2 linked regions of the Diceros bicornis minor genome follow. The protein of the gene in region 2 purifies or fractionates together with the protein of the main gene of each other region. This does not show direct contact. Links are inferred from orthologs where the notes say so. Each region holds a gene or a part of one and is shown on either strand. Other genes may lie near its edges.

Evidence for each region.
Region 1: the proteins of RETREG3 (region 2) and REEP4 purify together in Homo sapiens (affinity purification with mass spectrometry; 3 studies listed by BioGRID and IntAct, with this or other methods). This does not show direct contact. The link is inferred for Diceros bicornis minor from reciprocal best matches to the Homo sapiens genes RETREG3 and REEP4.

What each region holds. Positions count from the first base shown.
Region 1 is NC_080750.1:71,711,380-71,722,191, forward strand, and holds REEP4 (receptor expression-enhancing protein 4), read left to right. Parts: upstream 1-5,586; 5' UTR 5,587-6,005; coding exon 6,006-6,037; intron 6,038-6,177; exon of another isoform or gene 6,178-6,299; intron 6,300-6,874; coding exon 6,875-6,947; intron 6,948-7,339; coding exon 7,340-7,416; intron 7,417-7,508; coding exon 7,509-7,629; intron 7,630-8,074; coding exon 8,075-8,227; intron 8,228-8,570; coding exon 8,571-8,706; intron 8,707-8,853; coding exon 8,854-9,011; intron 9,012-9,098; coding exon 9,099-9,164; 3' UTR 9,165-9,309; downstream 9,310-10,812. Other genes in the region: LGI3 (leucine-rich repeat LGI family member 3), read left to right, coding at 92-909. UniProt on the Homo sapiens protein: Microtubule-binding protein required to ensure proper cell division and nuclear envelope reassembly by sequestering the endoplasmic reticulum away from chromosomes during mitosis.
Region 2 is NC_080757.1:41,681,551-41,691,798, forward strand, and holds the start of RETREG3 (reticulophagy regulator 3), read right to left. Parts: upstream 4,393-10,248; 5' UTR 4,338-4,392; coding exon 4,099-4,337; intron 1-4,098. Other genes in the region: TUBG1 (tubulin gamma-1 chain), read left to right, coding at 4,716-4,764, 5,092-5,204, 5,387-5,554, 6,393-6,461, 6,733-6,812, 7,249-7,375, 7,586-7,672, 7,787-7,936 and 3 more. UniProt on the Homo sapiens protein: Endoplasmic reticulum (ER)-anchored autophagy regulator which exists in an inactive state under basal conditions but is activated following cellular stress.

The sequences.
Region 1 (10,812 bases), on a different chromosome or scaffold from region 2:
AGGGTTGGAGGGGACTGACCCTCTTTCCAAGGGTGCAGCACGGGGCGAGGGCACACGGGCCGCCTGACGCTGCCTCCCCGCATCCTGGCAGCCCCCTCTGCAGTGCACTGCAAGCCAATGGTGGTGGACAGCCAGCTGTATGTGGTTGTGGCCCAGCTGTTTGGCGGCTCTTACATTTACCACTGGGACCCCAACACCACGCGCTTCACCAAGCTGCAGGACATCGACCCGCAGCGCGTGCGCAAGCCCAATGACCTAGAGGCCTTCCGCATCGACGGTGACTGGTACTTTGCCGTGGCCGACAGCTCCAAGGCGGGCGCCACCAGCCTCTACCGCTGGCACCAGAATGGCTTCTACTCCCACCAGGCCCTGCACGCCTGGCACCGCGATACCGACCTGGAGTTTGTAGACGGCGAGGGCAAGCCACGGCTGATTGTGTCTAGCAGCTCCCAGGCGCCTGTCATCTATCAGTGGAGTCGCACCCAGAAGCAGTTTGTGGCCCAGGGTGAGGTGGCCCAGGTGCCTGACGCCCAGGCTGTGAAACACTTCCGCGCCGGCCGCGACAGCTACCTGTGTCTCAGCCGCTACATTGGCGACTCCAAGATCCTGCGCTGGGAGGGCACGCGCTTCTCCGAGGTGCAGGCCCTGCCCTCCCGGGGCTCGCTGGCCCTGCAGCCCTTTCTCGTGGGTGGCCGCCGCTACCTGGCACTGGGCAGCGACTTCTCCTTCACACAGATCTACCAGTGGGATGATGGGCGACAGAAGTTTGTGCGGTTCCAGGAGCTGGCTGTGCAGGCCCCTCGGGCCTTCTGCTACATGCCTGCTGGAGACGCTCAGCTCCTCCTGGCCCCCAGCTTCAAGGGGCAGACGCTTGTGTACCGACATGTCGTGGTGGATCTCAGTGCCTAGGGGGTGCTGAGGCGTCTGGGTTCCTCGAGCAGCCGCTGGAGGCTGGGTGGGAGCCTCTGTGTGAGCAGCATGTGTGCCAGTGTGAAGACACGTGTAGCCAACCTGCATAGGTGCCCTCACGTACGTACACTCCGGTGAGCATGGGCACACACCGTGGACTAGCCCAGGGGAGCCACTTATCGTAGTTGTAATCAGCATGAAGACTCGTATATGCACCAGGCAACCCAGCACCTGGTGCCCTCCCATATGTGGACACCTCTTGACCCCACACTCCATCTGCAGGCCTGCCTCGCTCTGCTGCCTTCCACACGCTCTGGCCCTGGGGGCAGGGTGCTGAGAGGGAGGCTGAACTTCCCCCTCCTGTTCTCCAGCTTATTATTCTGACTCTCTGGTCTTTCCTGTTGGTGCTCTAGGTGTCTGTGTACCTGCTCATGCTCCACATTGCAGCCCACAGCCACATCCTTCATACTGCTGCGTGCACTGACCCATGCTACGCTCCTTCTGCGTGCACATGTGGACACTGACGGCCACCCTCAGGCACATGCACACACACCTGTCTACACTCCTGTTTTCACGTGCACACATGCAGATTCAGCACTGCCTGAAGCTTCCCCTCTGTTACCTTGCCTGTCTTCTTAGAGGAGCACACAGTACCCGTCCTCCTATGCTCACCCCTGGTGTGCCCGCCCTGCGGCTGACACAGATGGGAATGGTGATGCCAGCTTCTGTGCACCAGCTTGACCTCTGCCTGAAGCCCCAGATCCCCTGGCTACTTCCCAGTGCTGGCTCTGTTCTCACCGGAGTTCCCTTCCTGACCCTGAATTGGGCTCGCCCGTGTATAGGAGACCACCCAGATGAAAACCTTTCTGCTCTTCTTTTCTCTAGCTGCCCCAGCCTCGGACCACTCCCTGGTTCAGCCCCATGTTTGGGCTGTGGACCCTGAACTGTCCTGGCTCCTTTGGGTGTGTTCAAGAGCTGGCTGAGCCAGGGACCCTGCAAGCACCTGAGCCATCAGGGCAGGTGCCGGGAGTGCAGCTGGGCTGGAGAGCATCTTGGGGGCCCTGGGACCTCTCTAATCCACAGAGGCACACCCCAGGAGCACTGCCTTTCAGTGCAAGCTGAGTGGTGGAGGGGATGAAGGTCCTATGGGAGTGGCACCTGGGAGCCAAGCTTCTGCTGCCCTCTGCTGTATGCTGGGAATAGACAGCTCTGAGATGCAAGGCTGCTGGAGAAGGCATGGGGTAGGCAAGCTCTTCCCTGTGTCCAGACTGTGTGAGGGCCGCCTGGTGGTAGGATGCCTAGGGGCATTGGTGGGCAATGCCATGATTCACTTGCTTCGAATAAAAAGTTCCCACCCCATTGCTGGCTCTCAGATGTCCAATGGTGATGGTCAGCCGCAGCTGTTGCATTAAGAACAGAGCCAGGGCTGTGCTATCCTTGTTGCTGGCAGGGGCCCTGCATCAGTTTTCAGACCCCCTTCCTCCCTGCTCCCTTCCCTCCAAGGAGTGAGTGATAACCCCCAAGGTCAGCAGGTGCTGGGGTCAGGAGTTCATGGTGATGACACTCAGGTGCTGGGTGAGTGTGACTCGTCTCCACCACCTGGGGCTGACTCACGGCCCAAGTGTTCCTTCCTGGAGATCACAGTCTTGGGTCCCACTGAGACTGGAGTCTGTGCCTCTGTCAGGTCAACTCCAACCAATATGACCCAAGATAAGCGCAGCAGTCCCTGCCGCCCCCCATCCCACTGGGCAGATGTCTGTCACTGCCACCACCCTCTGCCCTAGGGATGAGATTTCAAGCACGTCGACGCATTTCTGGAGCCTCAGCTGCTACTTCTGGAAAGCAGATAATAAAACCTACTTTGTTTAGTCCTGATTCTGCCACCTACTAGCTGGGTAGCCTCGACCATGTTACTTAGCCTACTCATATCTGAGTTTCCTCACCTGTAAAATGTAGATAATCATGATACCTACCTGAAGGGTTAGTGTGAGATTTAAATGCATTAAATATATAACATACTAATATATGTAATGCCCTTAGAATAGTGTGCCTGGCACAGAACTATGATTTTTATTGGTCTGTAGCACTATATGAAATACAGAGGTGGCTCAGATAAGGGTGTTTTGTGGGAGCGGAGGTTGCTCTTTGGGGAGAACTGTCTGTGGATTAGGGGTCCTTATGCATCCTCAGATTCAGCGCCCCTGTACCCTATGTCTTACACCTGTGGCCTCAGGTGTCCAGCCAACCCGGCCCTGACCACTCCTCACAATGGGGAGTCTCATAGGGGACGTGTCTGAGTTTCCACCTCCTTGAACCACGTTCATGTGCTCTTGGCTCAGCAGGCGTCCCTCAGGTCCCCCAGCCCCACTGTCCTGGGAATGTCTGTCCTGCTTTTTCAAATGGGGAACGGGCCTCATGCTGTGCCAGGAAGAGGTTGCCAGGGAAAGAGGGTTGAGTCTCCCAGACACGTTGGCACTTTGTTGCCCAGTAGAAAGATAAATATCACTCTGACTGTACCCTCGCCCCCACCATGACTCCTTCCAGCGGTGGGAGACACTTCTCCCCCTGAATGCCCAGCTTTCTGCACACGAGGAATTGAGCTGTCTGTATGGCTGCCTGGTCACCTGCCCTGGGGGGTCATCCATGTGTCCAGAGAGCTGCTTAGCAACCCAGTGTAACCGAATGACTGTGTCAACAGCTCAGGACCAAAGGCCGTGAGAGGCAGAGTCCACTCACTCTGCCAAAGCCGAGGAGGCTGACACCCCTCAGCTGCCAGCCTCACACCCCTCCATGCTGAGCCCTGCTTTCAGCAGCACACCTCTGACATCTTGTCCCTTAGATGTCCCAAGCACAGTCATCGGCCCCAGGAGTCTCCACGTGAGAGACCTTCCTAACTGGGTGGGCTTAGAGTGGGCACAGGAGAGCTCCTCCCCAGTGAATTGGGGGGAAAGAGAGGCCTGTGATGCTGAGGTCAGGTGTGTGACTCTGGAGGGCAGCTGGTGGAGAGGAGGCAGTTCTGCAGCAGGTACCGAGGACCTGAGGCTCACATGCACACAGTCAGCTCAAGCACCCTTACCTCTGAGGAATGGATGGCTCTTGCTTGTTCTGCAATCCCCTGCTCCTCCTGAGCTGGCCCCCTACTGAGTCAGTCACATCCTTCTGCTGCAAGGAGACAAGAATACTTTTCATCTCGATTACAATGTCTATGCCTAGAGATGGATGGTGGGATCCTAACCCTTGGCGGTTCTTGTTCCTCCAATGTAGGACAGGAGCTGGGCCCAGAGTGAGGGAGCGGTTAGGCAGGTAGAGGGAGGCCTCAGGGCCTCAGGGGAGTTTCTCCTGTAGCCGGTTTCACTGCAAGCTCTCACACCCAGCAACACCAATAAAATTGATGATAATAATTAAGAGCATATAATCACCGTGTGTGTTTATTCCCAAGAAGGCTCCTTTCCCTGGCCCGGTCCTTACCTATTCCATCCCTTTGATAGGTGGTGGGTGTTAACTATGGCTCTAATAAAAAGTAACAACTGCCCCAGTGTCCCGCGCCCACAGCTCTGAGCAGCTCTGCTGTCCCCCTTACCTCAGCCCTTGAGGGCAAGCTGTGCAGGGTTGGGGGATGCTGTGCTCCCCGTCGTCAGAGGAGGAATGAGGCACTAAGCAGAAGAGGAACAAAGAATGCAACCCCACATGGAAAGTTGTAGAAGCAGCAAAGTTTGCCCTCTCTTTTGAGCCTCTGCCGTCTTCCAGGTATACACCTTCCTCAGGGAGGAGCTCCTGGGTTCCCTGTCCCCTCCCAAGGCTGCCCTCAGAGGACTGATCAAGCCAAGCATTTACCCGTTGTCTGGCAACAAGTGCCACCAGGGGACATTGGGCAAGTTTCTTTTCATCACTGCGTGAGCCTATTTCCTAAATGAGAAAAAAGGATCAAGACCTTGCACACAGAAATGCACTACAAAATGGGGATCTTTGAGGTTATTAAGCCCTCAGGGATATTTGTGCTCTTTACTCACAGGAATAGGTGGAAGTTCAGACTTCCGGGGAAGAAGGCATGGGGGGCTGGGGGCTCTGCCCAGAATCCCTGAAATCATCACGGTCAGCCTGCCCAGGAGTGTGGGCCCTGGAAGGGTATCCCAGAGAGAGGTTAACTCCCGAAGTTGAGTCGGATGGGAGATGAGGCCCTCAGGTTCCCTCTCCCCTACTTTCTCCCAGCTTCCCCTTTAGGTCAACTGCACATCTTTGAGGCGTTGACTGACTCCTGACCCAATGGTGTAAGAGCTGATTTGCTGGCGCTCAGCCAAGCCTCCTTCCAGTTTGTGCCTGGGCCTTGAGGGGGGACCTCCGCCCATCATATGCCCTTTCCCATTTTACAGGAGGGGAAACACGAGGCAAAAGGGGGAAGCCAGTGAAGACCCACGGAAACTCAAGTCCACATTTCTTTTTTCCTCCTACTCCCGCCCCATCTTGTTTTTTTTTTTTTTTTTTTTTGCCGCTTCTCATCCCCTAATTTTTCCGGTTAGGACCGCGACTCAACCTAGGGACCCCACACGCGAGGCGGGGACGCATCGCCGCTTTAAAGGGCAGGCCGCTCGCCTCGTCCCGCCCCCCGGGGCCGCAGTGCGCCTGCGTCGGGCCCCGCAGCCCGGGGTTGGGCAGAGCCCGGTGCCGTGCAACTTTCAAGTGAGCTGCAAACTCCGCCCCGAGGCCGGGCCGGTGGCCGGGCGCAGTGGGATCGCGGAGACCGCACGAGTGAAGGCCGCGACCCGCCACTCGCGGCCCGGCCCCCGCCGCGGCGCCCCGCGAGGGCCGAACGCCTGGTTCCCCGCGGCAGGGAGTGTGAGTCGAGCGGAAACTGCCTGGCGGCGCGGCGGGGCAGAAGAGCGCGCCCGCCGGTACCGGCTCCTGAGTCGGTGCCTCCGCGTCCGGCCTGCTCGCCCGGCCTGCTGGGCTCCCCCTTCTTCCGGCTCCCCGCACTGCGAAGTTAGGGGGCGGCGCCCCTCCGGTTCCTGCTCCTCCGCTCACTTCCCCATCCTGGCCCTGCAGGAGCGTCCCTCTGGGCATCTTCTTGGGTGGTCTCCCTTTTCCCCCGAGGCTGCAGGATGGTGTCCTGGATGATCTGTCGCCTGGTGGTGTGAGTATGGCAGCTCTCATATCCCCTCTATCCCGGGTGCCAGCCCGGCCCTGGGGTGGCAACTGGGAACGTCTGGTGGGAAAGGGGGCTTTCTGAGCTCCGTCACACCTGTCCCCTCCCCCGCCCTCCCACCCTCACAGCAAAGGTTAACGGACCTGTGGGCCTGCACGCGGCGTCCAGCACGGCTTGCTTGTCCCCCAACCCCCAAAGCCTCCTTGGCGGATGGCGACCCCTCCCGCACTCACACACACACTGCAGACAGGTGCGTGGGGCGGAGGACCACGGGCCGGACCGCAGCCCTTTGGCAAACACTAGGTGTTGTGGCACGTTGTGGGCGGAGAAGCCGTTGTGGGCCTGCTTCCTAGCTGAGCCATCTGTCACGTGACTTACCACCCTGGCCTCAGCCTCCCTACTCTGTCTTACTCGTCACCTTTCGGTACTCCAGCACCTAGCTGGAATAACCCTGTCTGCAGCCTGGCAGTGCCAGGTCTCGTGGCCCTGGGCCTGACTGCATGTCCATGGGAGGGGACAGTGGTGCTCTCCTCAGTTCAGAAGTCTGCCTCCCACCCACGTTGTTGAGTGGCTGTGTGTGCTCTCTGTTCACCACGTATCCATGGGCCACCAGTGCAGGCCTGGGCAGGCTTAAGATGTTTGTAAACAGCAGGGTGGGGAGGGCAGCTTCCAGGGCACTGACTCAGGTGCAGGTTGTGCAAGCCAAGCGGGAAGAACAGGGTAGGCATTGCCGCCTCACACCGAGGGGGAGGCGGCCATCTGGTGAAGCGTGGTGGGGCATGGTGCCCCTCACTCTCCCCCTCGGTTTTCTGGCTGTTCTTCCAGGCTGATGTTTGGGATGCTGTACCCAGCTTATGCTTCGTACAAGGCTGTGAAGACCAAGAACATTCGTGAATATGTGAGTGTGGGGGTGAGGGGCTGGGCAGGAGGGTTTGACTCAGGTGGGGTGGAACGACAGCCTTGGGGGGGTATGGTAGGATTGGTGGGGTGGGGAGGGTCTGAGCTGGCCTCCCCCTCCTCCAGGGGCTTAATCGGGAGGTGTATCTTGGGTGAATGGCTGTGGATGGAGGGTGGGCTATTGGGGTTCCTGTGCAGGATCTTGTGGGTGAAGCCTATTGGGGGTGGGTACAGGCATGAGTAGCAGTTTCTCAGAGGCAACTCTCTAGCCAGATGGCAGGGGAATGCAGCGGGACATGCTCTCTGGAATCCCTGGGCTGGGTCAGTCCAGGACAGGGGAGTTGGCTCTTCAGGCTTAGCCGCTGGCCTCTGACCTCTGCCCCTGCCCCACAGGTCCGCTGGATGATGTACTGGATAGTCTTTGCACTCTTCATGGCGGCAGAGACCTTCACAGACATCTTTATTTCCTGGTATGGGGGCAGCGGGGCTGTGGGCTGTGGGGAGCAATGGCCCACCCTCTGTCTGGCTCCCTGGCTGCCCTTGTCCCCCTGTGCTCTGACAGGTTCCCTTTCTACTATGAGATCAAAATGGCTTTTGTGCTGTGGCTGCTCTCGCCCTACACCAAGGGGGCCAGCCTGCTTTACCGCAAGTTTGTGCACCCGTCCTTGTCCCGCCATGAGAAGGTACCCCAGGGGGAGGTAGGGAGGGAAGCATAGGGATGGGTGTGAGGGAAGGAGCCCTGGATTCGGGCTTCAGGACACTCGAGGACACCTGGGTTCTAATCCCAGTCCTGCTGCTGTTTAGCTGTGAGACCTTGGCAGAGCCTAACCTTCTTTCTCTTTTGGGATAATCAAGTGGGGGCACATGTGAATGACTTTTTGGGGGTATGACACACCAGCTGGAAGTTGGTTTGGGGATGGTTGGGGGGAGGATGGAGCATGGCCATTCACTGAGGTGTGGGAGTAGGGGAGTGGGTGGGTGGGTGGGGAGCCCTGCTCTTGGTGTGGTTGCCTGAGCACTGTGGGTGGGGGTGGGCTGGGAGGCGTGGCACCCAGTGGCTTCTCTGGGTCTGCAGAGGAAGAGTGACTCCAGCTGTCCACTTGAGCTCTCTTCCTCCCTCATCTGCAGGAGATCGACACCTACATCGTGCAGGCCAAGGAGCGCAGCTATGAGACAGTGCTCAGCTTTGGAAAGCGGGGCCTCAACATTGCTGCTTCGGCCGCTGTGCAGGCTGCCACCAAGGTGCCCTGGGTCCCAGCCCTCCAGCCCCGTGCTTTTTGGGCAAGTCCAGCTCACTGTCAGGGAGCTGATAGATAGCAGCTGTCTGTGCTGGGGAACAGGGGTGAGGGGTGACGGGGGTGTTGGCAGGAGCATGGAGCTGAAAGTCCAGACTTCCCTGGCTCTGCGAGCAGCCGCTCCTGCTCTCTGGGCCTTCGTTTCCTGTTGGTGCCACAAAGACCCAGAGCTAGAAGCTTGCTGAGTTGCTTTCTGTGGGGCTGGTGCCCCAGTGACTACCTGCGGGTCAGTCCTTGACTTCCCTGGGTAGCTGCCCTGATGGAGGTCCCTTTCTGCTAGGAGCCCTCCTCCTCCCTCCAGGTGATGCAGAGCTCCCCCTCCCTTGCAGAGTCAGGGTGCGCTGGCTGGAAGGCTGCGGAGCTTCTCCATGCAGGACCTGCGCTCCATCCCCGACACTGCTGCCCCCACCTACCGGGATCCCCTCTACCTGGAGGACCAGGTTCCCCGCTGCAGGCCACCTATCGGTGAGTGGGCAACTGTCCCAAGAGGAATGGCTTCCTCCATGCAAGCTGTGGCTTCCTGCAGGGCTAGAAGAAGGCCTGGCTGGCCCCAGGCCTTCAGACAGTGTAAATGCGCAGCTTAGCCTTCTGGCCTCCCTCACCTCCACACAGGGTACCGGGCAGTGGACCTCCAGGACAGTGACACGGAGGGTGAGTGTTGGTCGGATACAGAGGTAGTCCCTCAGCCGTCAACCCGGCCCCACCGAGAGAAGCCTCTGAGCCGCAGCCAGAGCCTGCGTGTGAGCAAGAAGAAGCCGCTGGTTCGGGAGGTCAGTGGCAAGGAAGACGCAAGGGGGGCGGCAGCCCTGGCACTTCAGCCCAGACCTCTCATGGTGTGCCTGCTCTCTCTCCCCCAGGGCACCTCACGCTCCCTAAAGGTCCGGACAAAGAAAAAGACCATGCCCTCAGACGTGGACAGCTAGGGTCTGCAGAGCCCGGCCCTCGTGCCCTGCAGGGTGCTGAGGGCTATTTGGAGGGGACCTCTGGCTGCATGTCTGGCCTGTCTGCACCAGCTGCCCAGGCTCTGCCCTCCCAGCTCCTGCTGTTGGTTCAGGCCCAGAGGCAGGTGCTGTCGGGGCCATGCACGGGGATGCACCCAAATGTACCAAAGCAGGCTGGGACCACGGTTCTATTTATTGCCTTTCTCATTCCTCTACCTTCCCAGGTGTGGGACCACAGCCCTCCCCAGACCCTGCAAATGAAACCAAAAGCCCACCCAGCTCTGTTCATTCCTTCCTGTCCTTCAAAGTACTTGACAGCCTTCTCCAAGGCCTTGTGTGTGTGTCCTGGTTGTATGTTTTGTGTTGGTGGATGAGGTCAGGTTTGTTCAGGTTTTGATAACTAAATACATGAAAGTGTTCTGTTTCTCCTGGTTTGTATTCCCAGTCCTCACAGCACACGTTATTTAACAGCCTGCTACAGGCCAGTCCCGGCCTAGGACCGGGGCTAAAGGGGCAGACTGCCAGAGGGGCCCAGTCTTCTGGGGGAGATTGCCATTGACAAAATAGTTGTGATGCAGCAAGTACTGTCATGGAAAGCTCTCGGAGACCTCTGAGAACACAGATGGGAGAGTCGGGGCCCAGCCCTGAGAGAGATCAGAGTCTAAGAAGACCGCAGTCAGGGGGAGATAGGATTGGACCTTGACGGGAAGTAGAAACCAGTGGGAGCGAAGGTGTGTAGGCAGCATGATAATCCTGTGGGGATTAGCTGGATCTGTGCTCAGATTAGGCCTGGGGAGCCCAATTTCCTCCATGTGCCTGAGGGGGGTCTCTAGGCGCTTTTGTGGGGGAGGAGCATTGAGTTCCTGTAAACACGCAAGTAACATTGGGAGCATTGCATGTCTGTGGAGTAGCCGCGAGAGGGCAGCAGCTGCCAGGGTGTGGGCTGCCCCCAGCTTCCAGGTCAAGGAGGGCGGGGCTTGGAGGCTGGCCAGAGCCGTGCCCTGTAGGGGCCTGGCCACTGGCTGGCTGGAGGGACGATGGGGAACTCTGACCCAGCCTCCAATGGCGCCCCCACCGTTGCTCCTCCCTGCTGCTCCTCCCTGCTGCTCGTGGTCATCGGTCCTCAGCCTGCCCCATCCATGAGTCTCCTCTGTTCTCCTGAGACCCAGGCTCTTGGCCTGGGCTGGCTCCACTCCATCCCCTCCTCTAATTCCTGGAGCAGTGGTGCCGGCTCTGCCCTCTCCTGCGCCTGGATGTGGTAACCGGGAGTGGCCTCAGGAGGGTGGATTAACTCCTGGTGTGGGGATTATCTGGGTTTCACTTGGGGGAGGCACTTAATCTGCCCCGGTGGTTTAGCTCCTCACATGTTGGTGGTCAATGACTTACTCTCTTGGCATTCCCTTGCATCCCTTATCTCTTCATTTATTCATTCGAAACATCCTTATTGAGTGTCCACCAGGTACCAGGCATGTTTCGAGATACTGGGGATGCAAAGTCTAGTAACGGCTGGCACCAAGAATGTGCTGCTCTAAGCCCCTGACACATATTAATTTAATCCTCACAACAATTTTGAGAGGTCTGTACTATTATCATCTCTATTTTACAAATGGGAAAACAGGCACCAGGAGGG
Region 2 (10,248 bases):
ATTTTCCCCAGAATTAAATACTATCATTTAAAAAAACCTAATAAGCAGAAATTAGTAACTCATTGCCATTTACATTAGAATTTTTTATTACTAATGAGAGTGAAATTTTATATATCCACTGATTTACTATTTTTTGGCTTTTTTGTCCTTTTGTAAGCCACCCATCCCCTTTATTATGGGCTAAAATCTAATTAATTATCAGTCTAAATAAAATATTCCTTGGAAAAACAATCTGGTGTCCCTAAAAATCATGAGAAATTCCAAAACTAAACAATTTTTTTGAGGTTAACTATACTATGGATCCTCACTGTTAGCACAGGTAAATTAGAGTTTGCTATAATCATAAAGTTTATGCTATAATCACAAACAAAATAAAGATCACATGACTGTTTTCAAAGAAGATACTATTTCTGGGTTCCTTTGTTATTGCAGAGTAAGCTTGTCTCAGTGGCACTTCAGAACAAAGCACCCCATCCTATAGGGACAGAAAGCCCATTATTGTACAGCACTGTGGCTGTCTGGTTAATCAGCCAGTCACTGGTAAATTAGAATTAAAAAAATTAACCCAACCTATCTCACGCAGTGACAGTTGTTGCTTGCACAAAACCAGAAATGAAACCAGCTAGCTGCTAATAACCTACCTTATGTTAATGGACAAAAAGCACCCAACCTTACAATTAGGACAGATAAAAAACTGTTGGCAAAAGAGAGGCAAAAAAAAGCAAGCCAAGGCATCCTTGGGAATCTTCTTGGCTACCAAAAGCAACAAGAACAATGATCAGAGACGTGTGCTCAATAGATTTCATCTGAAATTTGATGTGTAGATTTTTTTTCACAGAACACTAAGTCTCTACTTAAATGGGCCCTCCCTTCCTTTTCCTGTTCCTTTTTCATTTTCATTCAAATTCTAAACTTTCAAATAAGAATTTTTATATACCTTTAATCATTTCTCAGGTCATTTTATTGATTTGGGGAGATTTTTGCGGAGATGGGAGGGGAAACACCTTATTTTTTCCAATTGTGAAAACAACAGATTCCATAACATCCCCTAGAATATAGTATGGTTAACTCAGACTAGCGACTGTAAAAGCAGATCCCAACAGAGAATAATTTAAAGATCATCTAGAATCACAGAATGTTAAAAACTGGAAAGGAGCTTTGCAGTCATCTAGCCCTCCTTGAACCATATGCGCTTCATAGAAGGGCTTGGGGTTCACACACATTTCCAGGGCTCCTTTGTCCTCCCCTATCTCCTAGGTATGAGTCAAACCAAAAAGTTACCTGAACCTGTTCGTTTCTGATCCTGTGAGGATACACTCTCACTGACTCAGCTGTTCTTCCCCCAAATCACTCATTTATAGGTGGTGTTGAGGCTAATGAAAATATAAGCTATTGGAGAGAAACGCCTGACATTTCTGTTATTATCCTAGAGACAAGAACATATCAGTGAATAGAAGCAACATAGGTTGGAAGAACTCTGATATGATACCCATAATTCCTCTGGAACCTGAAAAAAAAGAGTGAAAACCTTGAAATACTACAGTGGCAAGGCATCTACATCTATCTTTGTCTTTTATGTTGTTGTTTTTTTAAGATGTAAGAGGGCACATTCACAGGTACAGTTGACTAAGAATACAGAACATGGAAAGTTAAGAGCTACCTACCTGAATTCTGATGATTTTTTTGTACTCCTATCCAATCTTCTAATACCTCAAAATATATAAAACACCTCAGTTAATGATTTATCATTATTCAAAACAAATAATGAAAGAAAAATAAAATATTTCAGATTTGATTTCTCTCAGACCTGAGCCAATGATCCTTCTATGTTTCCTAAACATTTAAAATGTCTGAGAACAAAACAGTCACTCTTTGACATTCCTAAGCGAAATGTCAACACCCATATTCAATATGATGCTACTGGAATGTGAAGTCTAACTTTCATTTTGAACTTCAAACTACCTCCCAAAGAAGCCCATTTCCTAAAACAAACAATCCCATGAACTCCAACGCCAAACCACCCTAGCCTCTGGGGCCTTACTTAACACTTCCAGTCATTCTGTGCCCTTCACAGGTGTAAGTCCTCTCCATAAATGGCATACCCAGTTGCTCTTTCAGTCTCAAGAGATGCACCCTTCATTTTGCTGTATCTCTCCCCACCTATTTCAAGTGTGATGGGAACATAACAAGAGTAACTGTGCTCTGGATACACAGCACGCAAGCTACCAGAAAATCCCAGAGATAAAGATCAATCACAACAATGCTTCCAGAGACCCAGAGTAGGAAAAGGAGATCTGAGTGAGATTCTAAACATAGCATATTAGTAAACTTAAGTAAACACTGTTGGGGGCCAGCAAATTAAAGCTAACTGTAACATTTAAAGATGTGTCTTATGCAGAGCTGCTCCTTGTGTGCAGACCTCAACCCCACATTCCACTTCAAAACTCTCTCTCAGGCAAGGGGCATGTGGAAAGTCCCCTCCTCAAAAATAACAACATACATGCTACTGATCCATTTGCATTAATAAAACTTTGGCTTATCAGGATTCATTTAAAAGAATTTTATATATCAGCCACTCACATCTTGATACAAACTGGTTTATTCAGGACCCACTTTTTTCCTAGGAGTACAATCCCAATGTAGGAAAGGAAGTTTTGACTGGATGGTCCAGGGTTAGGGGTTGGGATGGGGAGGTGGGAGGAAAGGAAGAAAAGGTCATTCTGGAAAACACTCCTGAACGAGGTGCTACAGTTAAGGGTTTCTGACAGAAAGCAACAGACCGGAAGTAGGTACCTGGGGATCAAAGAAGAAGCAATACCAAAAATAAATGAAGAATGCTGTAGAAAAAGTTTATCGTCAAGTTTGTTAAAGACTATGGAAGTCAGAGATGGCTGTGACACCTTTCACCTGAGTCTCCTTCAAACTGTGAGAGGATTAATTTAACAGCTAAACATTGTGTCTTCCTGCCAATGAACTTGGAATTATTGGGTTTGCTCCAGCTCACTAAAAATCTTCTTTCAGACAAAGAATAATAAACGTTTTGATTTTAAAACCAAGAATTTCAAGAGGAAAGCTATTTTTAGCAAAAAACAATTTTTTTTTTTTTTGCGAACTCATACTTTGTGCTGTTTCAGGCTTATCCAGAATAGCCTTATTTCATCCAGTTGTAGAAGCTCCCTATACTTCAGCTCCCTTGGAATTAGATCAATAATACTTCCCTAATTATGAATAAATCCAAACTATGCCTGGCAGATCCTATGAAGACCTAAGTCCACTCCAGGTAATGACAACTGAGAGAAGCAGGAGTTCATCTTCACAGAGCATGACACATCCAGATTCTGAAAGCATATTTATAGCCGCACTTTTCCAGCTCAGGAAAACTTACACACTATTAGACACCCTCAATTTCCTTGCCTATAAACTGCGGCTGGATGCCTCGCTAATTCCTTGCAACATGGAGGAGTTGCAATCATAGAGGCTTTGAAACGGGTGAAATCGCACAATCACTATTTCCTAACTGTTCTTCAAAAGCTTATAATTTTCTTCCAAGTTGCAGCTTTGGACGCGCTTAGTGACGCTCAGACTTCACAAACCTCCTAGAGTGGGAGAAAGAAAGATCTAACGCGCGAATTCAGATCGTTCAAGCTGGTTTTCCTATCACACCTCCGGATACCTTTTCAAGACCTACCGCCTGACGCGTGTACCCCAATAATAACTACTACAATCTGGAGACAGTCCTCACCACATTTGAGCAGACAAGAGAAGGGAGGCTATGGCCTTCAAGGCACACAGCTTTCCCTGGCTAAAATGAGGCGCCCTCGCGCACTGCGAGCGGCTCAAGACGTAACCAGAAGCTCTTGCCTGATGTGCGGGGCGAGGGTGCGGGAGCAGTAAAGCGGAGAAGACAACTGAAGACCTGGGGAGAACTGCGGTGCCGAAGCCTGCAGGCGGGAAGAAGTGGAAGGAGATGGGGCAAAATTAGGCAGGTACAGGAAGGAGCCAGCGCAGCGAAGAAAACAGAGGAGGCGAGAGGTAGAGCCCTAGAGAAACCTGACGAATTCCCGCCTCGGAGGGTTTCCAAGGGTCCAGTTCTCTCACCAGAAAGCCGCGTTCAGCCCCAGGCACCACAGGGCGCTCCTGGCGGGCCGCTCCCACACCAGGGCTGCCTGCACCCGGCTCAGCAGAGGCTCGTAAGGCCCCAGCACCTCCACCAGGGCCCGCTGCGCCGCCTCAACCTGCTGGTCCCGCTCCCAGGAGCCTGACATAGCGCGGCGGCCCGTGAACGTCGGGCCCAAACTTGGGCCTGGGGCCGCGTCCACCCCCTCTGCCTCCGCCATCGCCCCCCGGCAGCCACAACATCCGGGGCCGCGGCCCCACAGTCACAATAACACCAACTGCGCAGATGCGCGATTCGGCGGGGGAGGCTGCTTCCCTTCACAACGCGCCTGCGCACACACTCGAACGAGAGTCCATCCAGAGAACACTGCGTCAAAGCACGCCCCTGCGCCCAGCCCGATCAGGAGCCGCGCAAGCGCAGTCTGCATGACTGAAGCCAAATGAATAAGGAAGTGCCATCGCCAGAACTCAGTTCTCATTGGAGCGGAGAAAGTTCGTGGGCGGGGCGAGTTGTTTGGCGCCTGCGTCGTGCGGCGAGCGGGCTGGCTAGCGGCGGCTTTGCTGGCGGGAGAGGCTGCAACGCCGGTGCCTGAGGAGCGATGCCGAGGGAAATCATCACCCTACAGTTGGGCCAGTGCGGCAATCAGAGTGAGCAAACCTCCGGCCCCTCCACTAGCCAGGTTCCTCAGATTCTATGGGATCTCGCTGTGGGATCCTGGACTCCATCTGCCCTTCCCAGAATCGTAGTTCTCCGAAAGGCAGGACATGCCTGACCCAGTGTCCAGTTGCCCAACCCCGAGGGGCCCTCCCCTGCCCGGTCCTGGCATACAGCCCTTTCCTCTGACACGGGAGACTCCTGAGGCTTGACTTCCTGTCTCTATACCCAGGCGCTCAGTCCCCAAGCTCCTAGTTGGAACCTGCCCAGACCCAGGTATCCTCTTTCTCCCCCGTCCATCTCTCCCCCACCCCGCCCAGTTGGGTTCGAGTTCTGGAAACAGCTGTGCGCCGAGCATGGTATCAGCCCCGAAGGCATCGTGGAGGAGTTTGCCACCGAGGGCACTGACCGCAAGGACGTCTTTTTCTACCAGGTGCCCCCAGCGACTTGGCCAGGGGTCCTAAAGGGAAGGCAGCGGCCTGGTGCTGGGAAACCTGCTGGGCAGAGAAGCCAGGGCGGCTGGCTTGAGGAGGGAGGGCAGGGAGGAGGCAGAGCTGGGAGGACGGGGGCCTTGGCCTTAGCTGATTGGGCCCCCTCCTGGACTCCCCTTGACAGGCAGACGATGAGCACTACATCCCCAGGGCCGTGCTGCTGGACCTGGAGCCCCGGGTGATCCACTCCATCCTCAACTCCCCCTATGCCAAGCTCTACAACCCAGAGAACATCTACCTGTCAGAGCATGGAGGAGGGGCTGGCAACAACTGGGCCAGCGGATTCTCCCAGGTCATTCGCTATTCCCTGGCAGGACCCACAACACCCTTCCTGTGTTGGGACAGGCCCTATGACTTCCCAGAGAGAGATGAAACCAGATCAAGGATGTATGAGTGCTGGAGGGAGAGAGAGATGGCTTAAGGGAGTTCTGTTTTCTAAGTCAACTATGTAAAATTGTTAAGAGACTCCACTAGCTAGTGCTGTGTGCCAGGCCGTACTAAGAGCTTTACGTATATTAACTTATTTAAACCTCCCAGCAACTCAAGAGGTAGGTAGTACAGGTCCACAGTCTCTTATCTACCTTTCCAGAATCCAAAAAACTCTGAAACCAAAAGACAATTTATAACTCATTTAGCAACAAAACCCAATCTCAATGGAGACAGGCTATTTTATAGTTTCTATCCAATTTACTGTCATTTCTCATACCTTTCATCACAGAAATATTAATGTATTTGATTAGCACACCTCAGACTCCCACTGGCATTTTACTTAACATACATTATATGTACCATGTTACCTTTATAGAGTCTGAAAAATTTGAATTCTGAAACATAACTGGCCTTAAGGATTTTAGAGTGGACCTGTATTATTACCTTCATATACAGATGAGGGAACTGAGGTATAGAGAGATCACAACGTGCTCAGAGTCACCTCGGCTAAACATGAACCCAGGCCTTCTGGATGTAGAGTGCCTGCCCATAACCACTGTGCTATACTGCTTCTCAATGCAAATAAAAAGCAGGGCCACTGTGCTCTAAAAAAAGACTTTTAGGTGCTATAAGGAGAATCGAGAGTCAGAATCTTTGTCCCATGGTCCTGTCTTGCTCTGACCTTCCCCATATCTGTACAGGGAGAGAAGATCCACGAGGACATTTTTGACATCATAGACCGGGAGGCAGATGGCAGTGACAGTCTGGAGGTGTGTCTCAGGAATGGTAGTGGGAGCCGACATAGGGAAGCCTCAGCAACACCCTTTAGAAGCCACTTTTAGGAATAAGACCCACCCATGTATGCTTTGCACTGGACAGAAGCCTTGCTGGAAACAAGGCAGAGTCTCCCCAGCTGTATATGTTGGGAGGGAAGTGGAGGAGAGAACTTGGCAAGATAGGAGTCCAAGAAATTATGGGATGGGTCCAGTTTGAAATCCTGACACTAGATACCTAGACACTGACTGCCCCTTCCCCATGTAGGGCTTCGTGCTGTGTCACTCCATCGCTGGGGGGACAGGCTCTGGCCTGGGCTCCTACCTCTTAGAACGGCTGAATGACAGGTAAGTCTGTGTTTTGAGGGGCTAGGAGGACTTGGTTTCCCAAGTAACTTGGAGGCCCTCCAGATACACCTTGCTATTCACTGGAGCAGGAAAGGGCCCTTCTGTAGTGAGGAAAGTCAAGATAGAGTGACTGAGAACCCGATCACACTCCCAGGGGTTGAAACTGGAGCCTCGAATCTGGGCCCTAGATGAAGAGATGAAGGTTCAGGGAGTATGGGGTTTGGTGTTGGAACTCTAGATCCTAAGATGTCTTTCTGCCCTTCCCCCTTTGGGGTTACAGACTTCCAAAAGTCAGGTCTCCCTTCTCTACTGCTCCCCGGGGCCCCATACCAGTTTCCCCATCCAAAATCAGCTGCTTCCAGACAGTTGCTGGGAGCCCCGTGTTCACCAAGCCACCAGTCTGTTGCCCTGACCCTTTTCTCCCAACCCCCACTAGGTACCCCAAGAAGCTGGTGCAGACGTACTCAGTGTTTCCCAACCAGGACGAGATGAGCGACGTGGTGGTCCAGCCCTACAACTCGCTGCTCACACTCAAGAGGCTGACCCAGAACGCAGACTGTGTGGTGAGTCCTGGATTCTACCATTCCCCACCCCCACCCCCTGTCTCTTTCAACACTTTCAGCCCTCTTGGGCCCCAGTCCTGTGCAAGTCCCTTTTGGATGGGTCTTTCTGGCTGTGAGGCTCAAGGGAAATTAAGCTTCAGAACCCAGGCTCAGGCAGAGCTGCTGTTCTTTCTGTCTCCATAAATCTGTCACCCTCTTCTGTCCCCCGAGGTGGTGCTGGACAACACAGCCCTGAACCGGATCGCCACAGACCGCCTGCACATCCAGAACCCCTCCTTCTCCCAGATCAACCAGCTGGTGAGCCCCAACTCCTCCACTCGTTTGGACTGGAATGCCTCCTTGCTGGAGTGCCAGCTGGGGAAGGGAGGCCCCCCCAGGCCAAGGCCCATGACATGGCACCCCTGTCCCCAGGTGTCCACCATCATGTCTGCCAGCACCACCACCCTGCGCTACCCCGGCTACATGAACAACGACCTCATCGGCCTCATTGCCTCGCTCATTCCCACCCCACGGCTCCACTTCCTCATGACCGGCTACACCCCCCTCACCACGGACCAGTCGGTAAGAGCAGCCCTCGGGGTCTCAGGCCAGGCTGGCCCGGGGCCCAGCAGGCCCTGACCTGGGCTTTCTCTTCTCCCTGTGGCCCCAGAAGCTGCCCTTTGCAGCCCCCAGAGGCTCTGCGCCCAGGGACTGGCACAGACTGTACAACTTCCTTGCTGACTTGCTCTCCTCTTCCCTCTGCCTTTGGCTCCCTGCAGGGCCTGGGCTGTGCAGGGTCTGCTTATGCTCCTGCACAGGGGCATGAGTTTGCTGAGCTGAGGAGGGCTAAGATTCCTGATCCCAGATCAGAGGGATCCCACAGCAGAGGCTCAGTATAGACCTGAATCTAAAGACGTTCGCCAAAGAGACCATACTACCCTGAGTCTGGTGGGGGACATGTGTTGCCTACTTCTCTCTGGACTGTGCCCTGAGTGCTGGCCTTGCCCCTGTGGCCCACTCTCCCCTCAGGTGGCCAGCGTGAGGAAGACCACGGTCCTGGATGTCATGAGGCGGCTGCTGCAGCCCAAGAACGTGATGGTGTCCACAGGCCGAGATCGCCAGACCAACCACTGCTACATCGCCATCCTCAACATCATCCAGGGGGAGGTGGACCCCACCCAGGTAGGGGAGGCCCCTTCATTTCACCCTCGGAACCCACAGGGATAGAGGAGAGGCTACCATCATTGCTCCGGTGCCCACCCCAGGTCCACAAGAGCCTGCAGAGGATCCGGGAACGGAAGTTGGCCAACTTCATCCCCTGGGGCCCAGCCAGCATCCAGGTGGCCCTGTCAAGGAAGTCTCCCTACCTGCCCTCAGCCCATCGAGTCAGTGGGCTCATGATGGCCAACCACACCAGCATCTCCTCGGTGAGTCTCCCAGTTTGCACCTCTTTTCCTGTAATCGTTTTCCTGGTTGTGCCTCACTTCTCTGCATCCCTGCTGCTCTGCCTCTGGCTTTTTACTGTGGAGAGAGCCCAGTCTTGGTTCCCTGGCTCTCTGGGCCATATTGTTCCCGAAAGTTCTTTGTGACCCCTGCTTTCTGCACATCCCAAGCTCTTTGAGCGGACCTGTCGCCAGTATGACAAGCTGCGGAAGCGGGAAGCCTTCCTGGAGCAGTTCCGTAAGGAGGACATCTTCAAGGAGAACTTTGATGAGCTGGACACATCCAGGGAGATCGTGCAGCAGCTCATCGATGAGTACCATGCAGCCACGCGGCCGGACTACATCTCCTGGGGCACCCAGGAGCAGTGAGTCACGCAGGACAGGGACCCTCATCTGCCTTACTGGTTGGCCCAGGCCTCACCTGACTGACCAGCCCCTCAGAGCACAGATCAGGGACCTCGCACCTCTCTTTCTCAAACACACATACACGTACTCTCTGTTGGCCTGGGGACACATTTACTTCTCCTCTTATGAGACTATTTATGTTTAATAAAGCACTGGATATATATCAAGTCTGGTCTCTTTGAAGGCTTGGAGACCTCGGGAAGGGAGATGACTGTTCTTTCTCCATCACTCTGGCAGGGTCTTCCCCTACTTCCCCGTCTTCAACTCGGAGCAAACAGCATCCCCAGCTTTTCCTTTTCCTGCTTAGTTTTGGAGAACATGGGTGGGGTTGACCCACCTGAGAAATTCCTTTCCAGGCTAAAAAGGCCCACAGATTTGCTCTCCATCTGACACTCTGGGTCCCAGTTCCCTCCCAACCCTCCCTGGATCAGGTCGCCTTTCCATCAGTTGCACATCCCACATCAGAGTGTCCTGTTGGTCATCACAGCAGCAGGCCTGCGGCCACCACCCCCTCCACCAGACCCTGAGCAATAATAGTCAGCCCAAGTGCCTTTAATCTCCTTGCAAGTGGGGTGGTGCCAGAGAGCCAGGCCAGGAGAGGCACTGGTCAGGCAGCTGGTGTCTAGGACAATCAAGTCAGGAGACCAAATCCAAAGCCTAGACTGTAAGCAGGGCCAAAAGTGGGCCCATAGCTAAGGTGCCATAATTCTGTTCTCAGGCAGTCTCAGTTACTTAAAGGGCCAGTGCCTTCCACTTCTGGTGGAAGATTGCAGGAAAGTAGTAAATATGTAGGGACCTAAATCTTCAGGATCAAAAGGGCAAAGCAGGTGGTCCCTAGACTGTGGTGGATTGTTAGGGGCCCTCTTAGGCCCTTATATACCGCCAAAGGTGAGGACTGTAGTAGCAGCAGCTAACATGCATGCAGACACCATGCTAATACTTCACGGTGTTTTGTTTAATCCTCATGACAACCCTATGAAGTTGTAGATATTATTATTAACCCCATTTTATAAATGAGGAAACTGAGGCCAGAAGTGGTTAATTTAG